Arabidopsis thaliana: one gene and its partner. The protein of the gene in region 1 interacts with the protein of each later gene in a pairwise test. Each region holds a gene or a part of one and is shown in the gene's direction. Other genes may lie near its edges.

Region 1 (5,163 bases):
AAAAAAAACATAAAACAAATCCTAAACCCGACATAACAAAAACACGATCACTTATAAGCGGAGAGATGAGACTGAAACATAAAGAGTCTAAGAGAGGATACCGTACCCCATGTTGACGACGGCGCGAGTGAAAAAGTCGAGAGATGAGCTGAAACTGCTAAAGGCGCGACGTTTTAAGTTCGTGAGAGATTGAAAAACCCTAGTGATAAGAAAATAGGTATATATAGGCTTGGGTCAAGACTCGTGAGAGCCCTGGTTTAGGCATTAACCGGTCTGCAATGAAATTGATTAAACGGCAAATGATTATTTTTATATTTGGGCTTAACAAGAAGGCCCATCACATGTCAACCCAAATATTATGCCAACTCCTTAAGGTAATAATACGGGAAAAATGTCGTTTTATACGTGAACTTTAAAAAATGGCCATTTAATACGAAAATTTTTGTGTGGCCAAATAAAACATAATAAAAACGTTGACCGGCCGTTTCACACAAATATTATTGTTGACTACGCCAAAGTCTCCATGCCGTTATCTTTCATTAACGGATCCGTTAATTCCGTTAACACATGTTAATTAGTTTCCGTCAATACTCAAAACGACGTCGTTTTATTGAAATCAAAAAATCAAAATTCCTAAAATTGATTTCAAAATCTCTAAATTCCAAAAAAACAAATCCTTAATTCCTAAATTCCAAAAATCAAATCCCTAAATTCTAAAAACCAAATCCCTAACAGCCTCTTATTTTCAGCAATTGGTCGTCGTAATAGTCATCGTCGTAAAGATCCTCAAGAGAGCTAAAGAAGGGCCTTCGCTTTGATGTTTCCTCCTTGTTCATCATCGATCTTGTTCCTCCCCCTTCGTGAATTCAAACGAACAACTGCTGTCAATAGTCGAATGTTATTATTCATATTCAAATTGGTTCTCATGTGTGTGTGTTCGTAACATTTTATTCACAAGACAACAAAACAAAAACAGGGAAACTTCCAACATGATGAAATAAGATTATGAGAGTGAGAAAAGAACCTTGGACAACGGGATTGAGATTCCTAAAGAAGAACATGATGTTGCCATGTGAAGCAGATGGATTGAAGAAAAATGAATTGGATTCCATTTTGGAATTTAGGGATTTTGAAATCAATTTGGGAATTTTGATTTTTTGATTTCAATGAAATGACGTCGTTTTGAGTATTACAGGAAACTAATTAACGTGTGGTAACGGAATTAACGTATCCGTTAGAAAAAGATAACGGTATGGGGATTTTGGCCTGGTCAACAATAACATTTGTGTGAAACGACCGGTCAACATTTTTATTATGTTTTATTTGGCCACACAAAAAATTCACGTATTAAATGGTCACTTTTTGAAAGTTTACGTATAAAACGACATTTTTCCCGTAATACCGTATACGCTGCATTGAAACATTCCAGTCCTAGTCACGTGCACGGTGCACCTACTAGCCCACGACTCCCACACTATCCGCCACGTCAGAAAACGAAACCGGTTGTAGCAGGTAAAAGGCACACAAAGCTAAGCATAAGGAAGCGCGCGACACGCACCGGTTCAGCCGGTACTCTGCGTCGATAAACGACATGCAAGACCGTCCATTTTCTTAAAAAAGCGATCTTGATCTGACGGTCCTTATTTGTTTATTCAACCGGTAAAATACAAAAAAATCAGGAAAAGGATCGTGGATCGTCAATGGCGGACTGGAGTAAATTTCTTTGACAATAACCAGTCCTAAATCAAGGTAGAATATTGCAAAAATGTTCAATGGAAGAAGATAGATTGGTGACCATGATTATCAACGACGTCTAAGCTGTTTCTGCGTCATTTGGTAAGTGAAGCTTTTGTCTCTTTCGATTTCTCTAATGCAAAAAAAAAGGGAGAAAGATTTTGATTCGTTATTGAAATTATTCTCTTTGAGTTATTTTAATTAGAAAGAAGTAATTTTTATATATATTTGTCAAGAAAAAAAGTGAGCTTGAAGTTCACGCTTGTAAAGGTGTCAGTTTTGCAGCTCATTATCGCCATGTTCTTCTCTCTCGCGCTCTTTGTGTTTTCTTCTCTTTGCTCATAAGAACCCACTTTAATGTATGTTCAGGTCTTCTTCTTCTTCGTCTTGTTGCTCTGAAGAGTTGGTCCTGACTTGGGATTTAGGGATTTCGTTTTGATAATGGAGGAGATGCGAAGAGGAGTGCCTACGTGGCAAGACGAGTTAGCTAGTCTCATGGACGGAGGTTTACAATACGACGGATCTCCGATTGATTTGACGGCGGATACTGAATCGAGGTCAAAGAGTTCGGGTTTCGAGTCGGGTTCTGGATCCGAATCAGTGGAGAGTTTGAAAGATCAAGTGACGGGGTTTATGAAGTCTTGGGGAGAAATGCTTATGGATCTCGCAATCGGATGCAAAGACGTTGTGCAGCAGATGGTGGTGACCGACGACTCTTTCGTTGTAAGGAAGCTCCGGAAACCAGCTGCTAAGGTTTCGAAGAAGCTTAGCTTCCTTAACGAGTACTTGCCTGAGGATCGTGATCCTGTTCATGCTTGGCCTGTGATTTTCTTCGTCTTCCTCCTAGCTCTCACAGGTATATTATCAAACAGTTTTCTGGTTTTGGATCACCATTATGTATCTGCAATGCCACACTCTTATAATGAACAGTTATTCAAAATGTCTGCTAGAAAACTGTGTATTGGGATGAACCTTATAGAATTTTTTGAGGTTGTTGTATGTAGTTAACTTGATTCTGCTTAGATATTGGTTTAAGTGGCAGTCTTGAATAGATTCTCGTTGGTGCAAGAGAGGCTTGTATCCTTACTCTGACATATCCAACTTTTAAGTGCAGCATTGAGTTTTAGTTCAGACCATGATAGATCTGTCCCTTTGTTGAAGAAAATCCGTCTGCATCCTACTAGTGCAAGCCGTGTACAGCTTCCAGATGGTAGATATTTAGCTTACCAGGAGCTTGGTGTTTCAGCTGACAGAGCTAGACACTCTCTAATTGTTCCTCATTCTTTTCTTTCCTCTCGGCTTGCAGGTATGATCAAATAAGCTCCTTGTTTCAGCTTCAGCTTACTTTTAATGATGCAATTACATCTGATTTGCTTCTACTGTTTCAACATTATCTTATCAAGGTATACCTGGAGTAAAAGAATCATTGCTCAAGGACTATGGTGTTCGTCTAGTGTCATATGATCTTCCAGGGTTTGGAGAGAGTGATCCCCATCGTGCTCGGAACCTTAGCTCATCTGCCTCGGATATGATTGACCTAGCTGCTGCTCTAGGGATTGTTGACAAGTTCTGGTTACTCGGCTATTCCAGTGGTAGTGTGCATGCCTGGGCTGCAATGAGATATTTTCCGGACCAAATAGCTGGTACCTTCAATTTTTTGGATAAAATTTGAAAATTCACAATTCATGGCCAACTCATGTTTTTCACAGAATGACACAAAATAATATGGGAAGGTATTGATTTTTATAAATCTACAGGAGTTGCCATGGTAGCGCCTATGATAAATCCATATGAGCCAAGCATGACAAAGGAAGAGATGGCAAAAACGTGGGAGCAGTGGCAACGAAAGAGGAAATTCATGTACTTCTTAGCACGTCGGTGGCCAAGTCTTCTTCCTTTCTCCTACCGTAGGTCCTTTCTCTCTGGTAATCTCGAGCCGCTGGATAAGTGGATGTCAGTGTCATTAGGAGAAAAGGTAAGTCTGTATTCATCAAGTGTTTCTTCCCAAGGTTTTGAGTCTTTGTGAGTTATGGCTCACAAGCTAAACCTGTATACACCACTTTTCTATTTCAGGACAAACTTGTAACCGCAGATCCAGTTTTTGAAGATCTTTACCAAAGGAATGTGGAGGAGTCTGTACGCCAAGGAACTGCAAAACCATTTGTGGAAGAAGCCGCATTACAGGTATCAAATTGGGGCTTTAGTCTTCCCGAGTTCCACATGCAGAAGAAGTGTAGAACCAATGGCGTCCTCTCTTGGCTAATGTCAATGTACAGTGAATCCGAATGTGAACTAATTGGTTTTCGGAAACCTATACACATATGGCAGGTTTGTTGAAATCACACTTAAAACCGCCATCTACAAGATCACCTTTGTCAAGTTGTGAGTTACTCATTTTGCTTGTGGTCACATAGGGTATGGACGACCGAGTCACTCCACCTTCAGTGACAGATTACATTAGTCGAGTCATACCAGAAGCAACGGTACATAGACTCCCAAACGAAGGCCACTTCTCTTACTTCTATCTCTGTGATGAGTGCCACACGCAGATCTTTTCGGCCATATTTGGAGAACCAAAGGGCCCGGTAGAGTTATTGGAACAAAGAACGGAAACCCATAGACCGGATCAACCAAAGACAGGTTTATCTGACAGTAGCTCACTACCAAAGAGTAAGTAAAAAAGAACTATAGGAACACGTTGTTCTTGGTCTTCGTTCCATTATGGAGAAATGTGTAAATAACACCAAGAAGATGATTTAGTCCTCTGCTTTGGTTGAAGATTTCAGATTCTATAGGTTATAACAAAGCAGAGTTCATTTTGAGAGTACATTTGGCACTGCAAAGAGTGCAAGTGAAAGAACATTTTATTAAAGCGGCTATCCCTTAATTGGAAATGCAATATTTTTTTCTTCTTATAGTTTTATGTTTGAACAAAACCAGAATCCGACTAGACTCATTTTCAGTTTGGTTTATATATTTCTCACGCTGAAAAAGTTAAATACCCACGTTATACATCATCATGATAAAAAAATGAACTAGACCAATAACTTGGAACTACATGGCTTGATAGGATCAATCAATCTAATGGTTATTGCTTAAAGAGAACGATCTAGACTAACTACTCGAAACTAGGCCACATGGCTTTGTGGTTGGGATCAATCGACCTCACCCAAAGGGTTTCAAAACGCAGAACCAGAGTTCTTGGTTTTTCCAAGCATCATGTCTTTGGCTTCATTGATCTTAGACGCAAGGTAATGGCTTCCTCCTGCATCTGGATGATTAGCCACCATCACTCTACGGTGAGCTTCCTTCACCTTCTCTGCCGCTACACTCTCCCTATTCAAACACCACAAGTGACAAACTCATCAAGCCATAATAATGTCGCAAAAACCACCACTAAACATATGCAAACCATTTACCCTTGTGTAA
Region 2 (4,054 bases), 200 kb from region 1:
AAACTTATTTCAGGGAGAAGATTTTAACAAGGAGAATCTGCGTTACCATAAAATTATCATCTTAACAGATGCAGATGTTGATGGTGCACATATCCGGACACTTCTGTTGACCTTTTTCTTCAGATATCAGGTACTAGTTTAGTTTGATAAAACATTAGTTGAAGTAGCCTTGATTGCTGATTGAGTTATGTGAAATTTAATGAAATTTACTTTCTACAGAGAGCCTTGTTTGACGCGGGTTGCATATACGTTGGTGTTCCACCTCTTTTCAAGGTAAGCTCTTAGTATCTATAATCTTATGCTTCAGATTGAACGGAATTTTTTTCTAAAGCTAGTCTCTCTGTGAAAACGATCAGGTTGAGAGGGGGAAACAGGCGCACTACTGCTACGATGATGCAGCTCTTAAAAAAATCACTGCTTCGTTCCCTGGAAACGCATCCTACAACATTCAGAGGTTCAAAGGTAAAACATCCTACTTCTCACATCATGAATGTGTTCTTTTGGAAAGGATAAATAACTATGAAAAGTAATGTATAGTAGTTGTTATGTGTTAGCTATTAAGATACTCTTGAGTGTGTGCATAACGAAATCTAGATTAGTCTCAACTATTGGATTCTATGTAATGTTTCTTGCTTTTGCATCTGCAGGTTTGGGTGAGATGATGCCTGCGCAGCTATGGGAAACAACGATGAATCCAGATACAAGGATATTGAAGCAACTAGTTGTTGACGACGCAGCAGAAACGAATATGGTCTTCTCATCTCTGATGGGTGCTCGGGTAAGCCAATGAATTGCCAGACTCGGACTCATGATAATAGTCAATAAACTGGCATAACTCATCGTGACAATGTTATGTTCTGTGTATGTTTCAGGTCGATGTCAGGAAGGAACTCATCAAAAGTGCTGCGACTAGGATGAATCTGGAGAATCTCGACATATAACACAGCTTATAGTTATTGCTTCAGCTATATACAAACAACAAAGAAACGACTCTGGTGAAATGCAAAGGGAGACATCATCATTTCAAGGTTAAATCATATAGTCACAGGCCAACAGGATTTTGTTCTTCTTCTGGCCTATAAAGGACAAAATTCATTGTTAGGATTATCTCTTTCAATGTCAAAATTTAGCAATTCACAAGGCTCTTTGTTGGGCGTTTCTTTCCATTGGAACTAGAATTTTTCTAGAGACAAGAGAAATTTGCATTCACTAGGTATTTACTATATATTATGACTTCAACAATTTGGCATTCCTGAAAATCATGCATGCGACGAAGTTAAAACTAATGATTAGAAGGAAGATGAGAAGGTAACTATTGTGCAATGAATATCTTCTCTGCCTGTTGTATTGATTTTAATTGTATTCGAGGTTAAGTTTTGACTGATGTTTTACTAGCGATCGCAGAGTGATCGATAATTAACAAGTTTATTTTTCGATTTGGTAGGTATATAGTGAATTAAACATGATTTTTGTTCTTCCTGAACAACCTAAAGCAGTGTTATGAACGCATCACGCATGTAACAACCAGTCAACCATATTAGTGTGACTTTAATTCATTGAATAAATGAAATTTTTTTATTTTCAACAAGGCTTGTAACGGTTGATAAATCTACTCAGAAAACTTCTTTTTGTTTGTCTTGCAAATACAAACGATACGTTTCAACTCTTTTTTTGGCGTCCAATAATACTTCTTAAAAAATAATTTGTTTATTGTCATGAGCTACACGTGGGAAGACAAGTCCTATCCATTATTACTACACACTACTCCAACATTTGCCCACATTTTGAAAAAAACATTTTTTTGTAATTCAATTATTCGACACAACCAATCCCATCTCTTGTTTCACTTCCGCCCTCCATCTTTCTTCGTGATTGAGAGAATCTTCAACGAAAGAAAGCAACTTTTTTTGGGTGAAATTCACAGAACAACCAAGGTTTTTCTTCTTCTTCTTCTTCTCCAGTTCCTACAGGTTTACTCTTACTCATCTTCATCTTTGTCTCGTTCTTGCTCTTCAATTTCTGGTCTTTTTGTTGTTCTTGTCTTCTCGCCAAATATACTAAGATCTAAGTTTTATATCATTGTAATTATCACCAACGAACTGTTAAGACCAAATTTGATTACTCGAAATGGTTTTGGGTTTAGGGTATGAAGAACTGATCAAAAGATTCAATTTTTTATGAAGTCAACTTTCATCTGCAAATTGAGCAATCTCAGATTTCGATTGTGTTTCAGAATCATGCCTGACAAGAACATCGTAGAGGACGTTATCGGTGATTTGGTGGATAACTTCACGGAGACTGTTCAGAAGAACAAACATGGTTCCTCCTTCTTCGAACAAGAAGATTCCGTCAGTTCTCGTTTCAACCGTTTGTTTGATCGCCAGAAGCCAATTCATCATGTCTTAGGCGGTGGCAAATGTAAGAATTCGTATACAGGAACATAAATATGAGATTGGTTTTTCTTGTAATTGAGTATTGAGAGATTCCTTCAGCTGCTGATGTGTTGTTATGGAGGAACAAGAAGATCTCTGCAAGTGTTTTGATGGGAGCTACCGCAATTTGGGTGCTTTTTGAATGGATCAATTTCCATTTCCTGTCTCTCGTTTGCTATGCCCTCTTGCTTGGTATGATTGCACAATTCGTTTGGTCTAACGCCTCTGGATTCTTAAACCGGTAACTTGTTGGAGTGTTGTTGTCATTATTATTGGTACCTTGTGATTGCAATCTAACACAATGTCCTTTAATGTCTCAAAGCAGCTCACAGTCTAGAGTGCCTCGCCTAGTTCTTCCAAAGGATTTCTTTGCTGAAGTCGGTGTGGCCGTTGGAAAAGAAGTTAACCGCGGTTTGTTGTTTCTTCAGGACTTGGCTTGTAAAGGGAATTTGAAACAGTTCCTCATGGTGCGTTGTTTGTTTCAATAACCACAATCTTGTTTGTATAATGTATTAGCACTTTCATTACTATGCTAAGATAGAAACTTTGATCACAATATCATTTTTCAGGCTGTAATCGGACTATGGGTAGCTGCAATGGTCGGGAGCTGTTGCAATTTCCTAACTGTTTTGTATATCGGTGAGTGGTTCTTATTAGTGTATCCTCTTTTGAGATTGGAAGTTGAGTAATACAAGACTTTAAAGGGATGCATTTTATGTGTGTGTGTGAAGGGTTTGTTGGGGCACACACAATGCCGGTTCTGTATGAGAGATACGAAGACGAAGTGGATGGTTTTATGGATTCTATGATCATGAAGTTTCATAGTCATTACAAGAAGCTTGATACTGGGTTTCTCAGTAGAATCCCAAGTGGAAAGTTTGGATTAAAGAAGCGTGAGTGACTAAATCACTCAAGCATTTTCTTATTTTACCTTGTTTGTTGTTAGAACAATATGGATTATGGTTTGCTAAATGAATGTTTTGAGAATATTATTCATTCATGTAGATTTTGTGTATTTCCTTACTAAACAATACCTTGTCCATGTATTTGTCAATACCTTGGTTAATAAGAGAATCATCATATCTGTCAAAATTATACAAGTAGATTGAGAGTTCATTAACTCAATGTCTAAAAATGTAAGACTTAAAACAAGTTTGAATCAAAATTATTTCACAAATCAAAAGTATGGTTTTCTTATTTCGTAAGAATCGTTGACTAATATTGACCGGCTGGCTAATAAGAAGATCAGATAACTCTACAGGTATGGGATCCACCATTGTCAAACATTTTACACGTGTCAGCTTCCTGAGCTTCGAAGCCTGAATGTTAAAATTAAAAAATTTAAAAGAAAGAAATATAAAAAGAAGTAAATCAAAGAAAATGGAGTAAAGAAATTGATCCACGATCGATCAACAAAGTGAGGTTAGGTTCCATCTCCACCTCTTTCTCTCTCGAATCTTCTCCGATTAAAGGTGCTCTTTTGCTTATGAAATTTGTGTTTCTTAAGCTAATCGAATTTGTTTTCTTGATCGTTTTGATGTTCTTTTTTTTTTTTGTTATTGTTGTTGATTTGATGTGATCCGGTTGTATTTGAAGACGAAATCGATTCGAAGTGTTGAGGT

What was found. The genes of interacting proteins can lie anywhere in the genome.
Region 2: the proteins of AT3G09690 (region 1) and AT3G10260 interact in a two-hybrid assay, tested with the Arabidopsis thaliana proteins (one large-scale study listed by BioGRID).

The regions. Positions count from the first base shown.
Region 1 is NC_003074.8:2,970,181-2,975,343, forward strand, and holds AT3G09690 (alpha/beta-Hydrolases superfamily protein), read left to right. Parts: upstream 1-1,632; 5' UTR 1,633-1,836; intron 1,837-1,993; exon of another isoform or gene 1,994-2,103; 5' UTR 2,104-2,175; coding exon 2,176-2,590; intron 2,591-2,848; coding exon 2,849-3,040; intron 3,041-3,137; coding exon 3,138-3,377; intron 3,378-3,491; coding exon 3,492-3,709; intron 3,710-3,807; coding exon 3,808-4,062; intron 4,063-4,148; coding exon 4,149-4,412; 3' UTR 4,413-4,663; downstream 4,664-5,163. Other genes in the region: AT3G09680 (Ribosomal protein S12/S23 family protein), read right to left, coding at 107-111; AT3G09700 (Chaperone DnaJ-domain superfamily protein), read right to left, coding at 4,914-5,070.
Region 2 is NC_003074.8:3,170,692-3,174,745, reverse strand, and holds AT3G10260 (Reticulon family protein), read left to right. Parts: upstream 1-1,753; 5' UTR 1,754-2,177; coding exon 2,178-2,418; intron 2,419-2,492; coding exon 2,493-2,673; intron 2,674-2,757; coding exon 2,758-2,899; intron 2,900-3,001; coding exon 3,002-3,071; intron 3,072-3,163; coding exon 3,164-3,333; 3' UTR 3,334-3,524; downstream 3,525-4,054. Other genes in the region: GYRB1 (DNA gyrase subunit B), read left to right, coding at 14-130, 220-273, 357-462, 648-778, 873-941.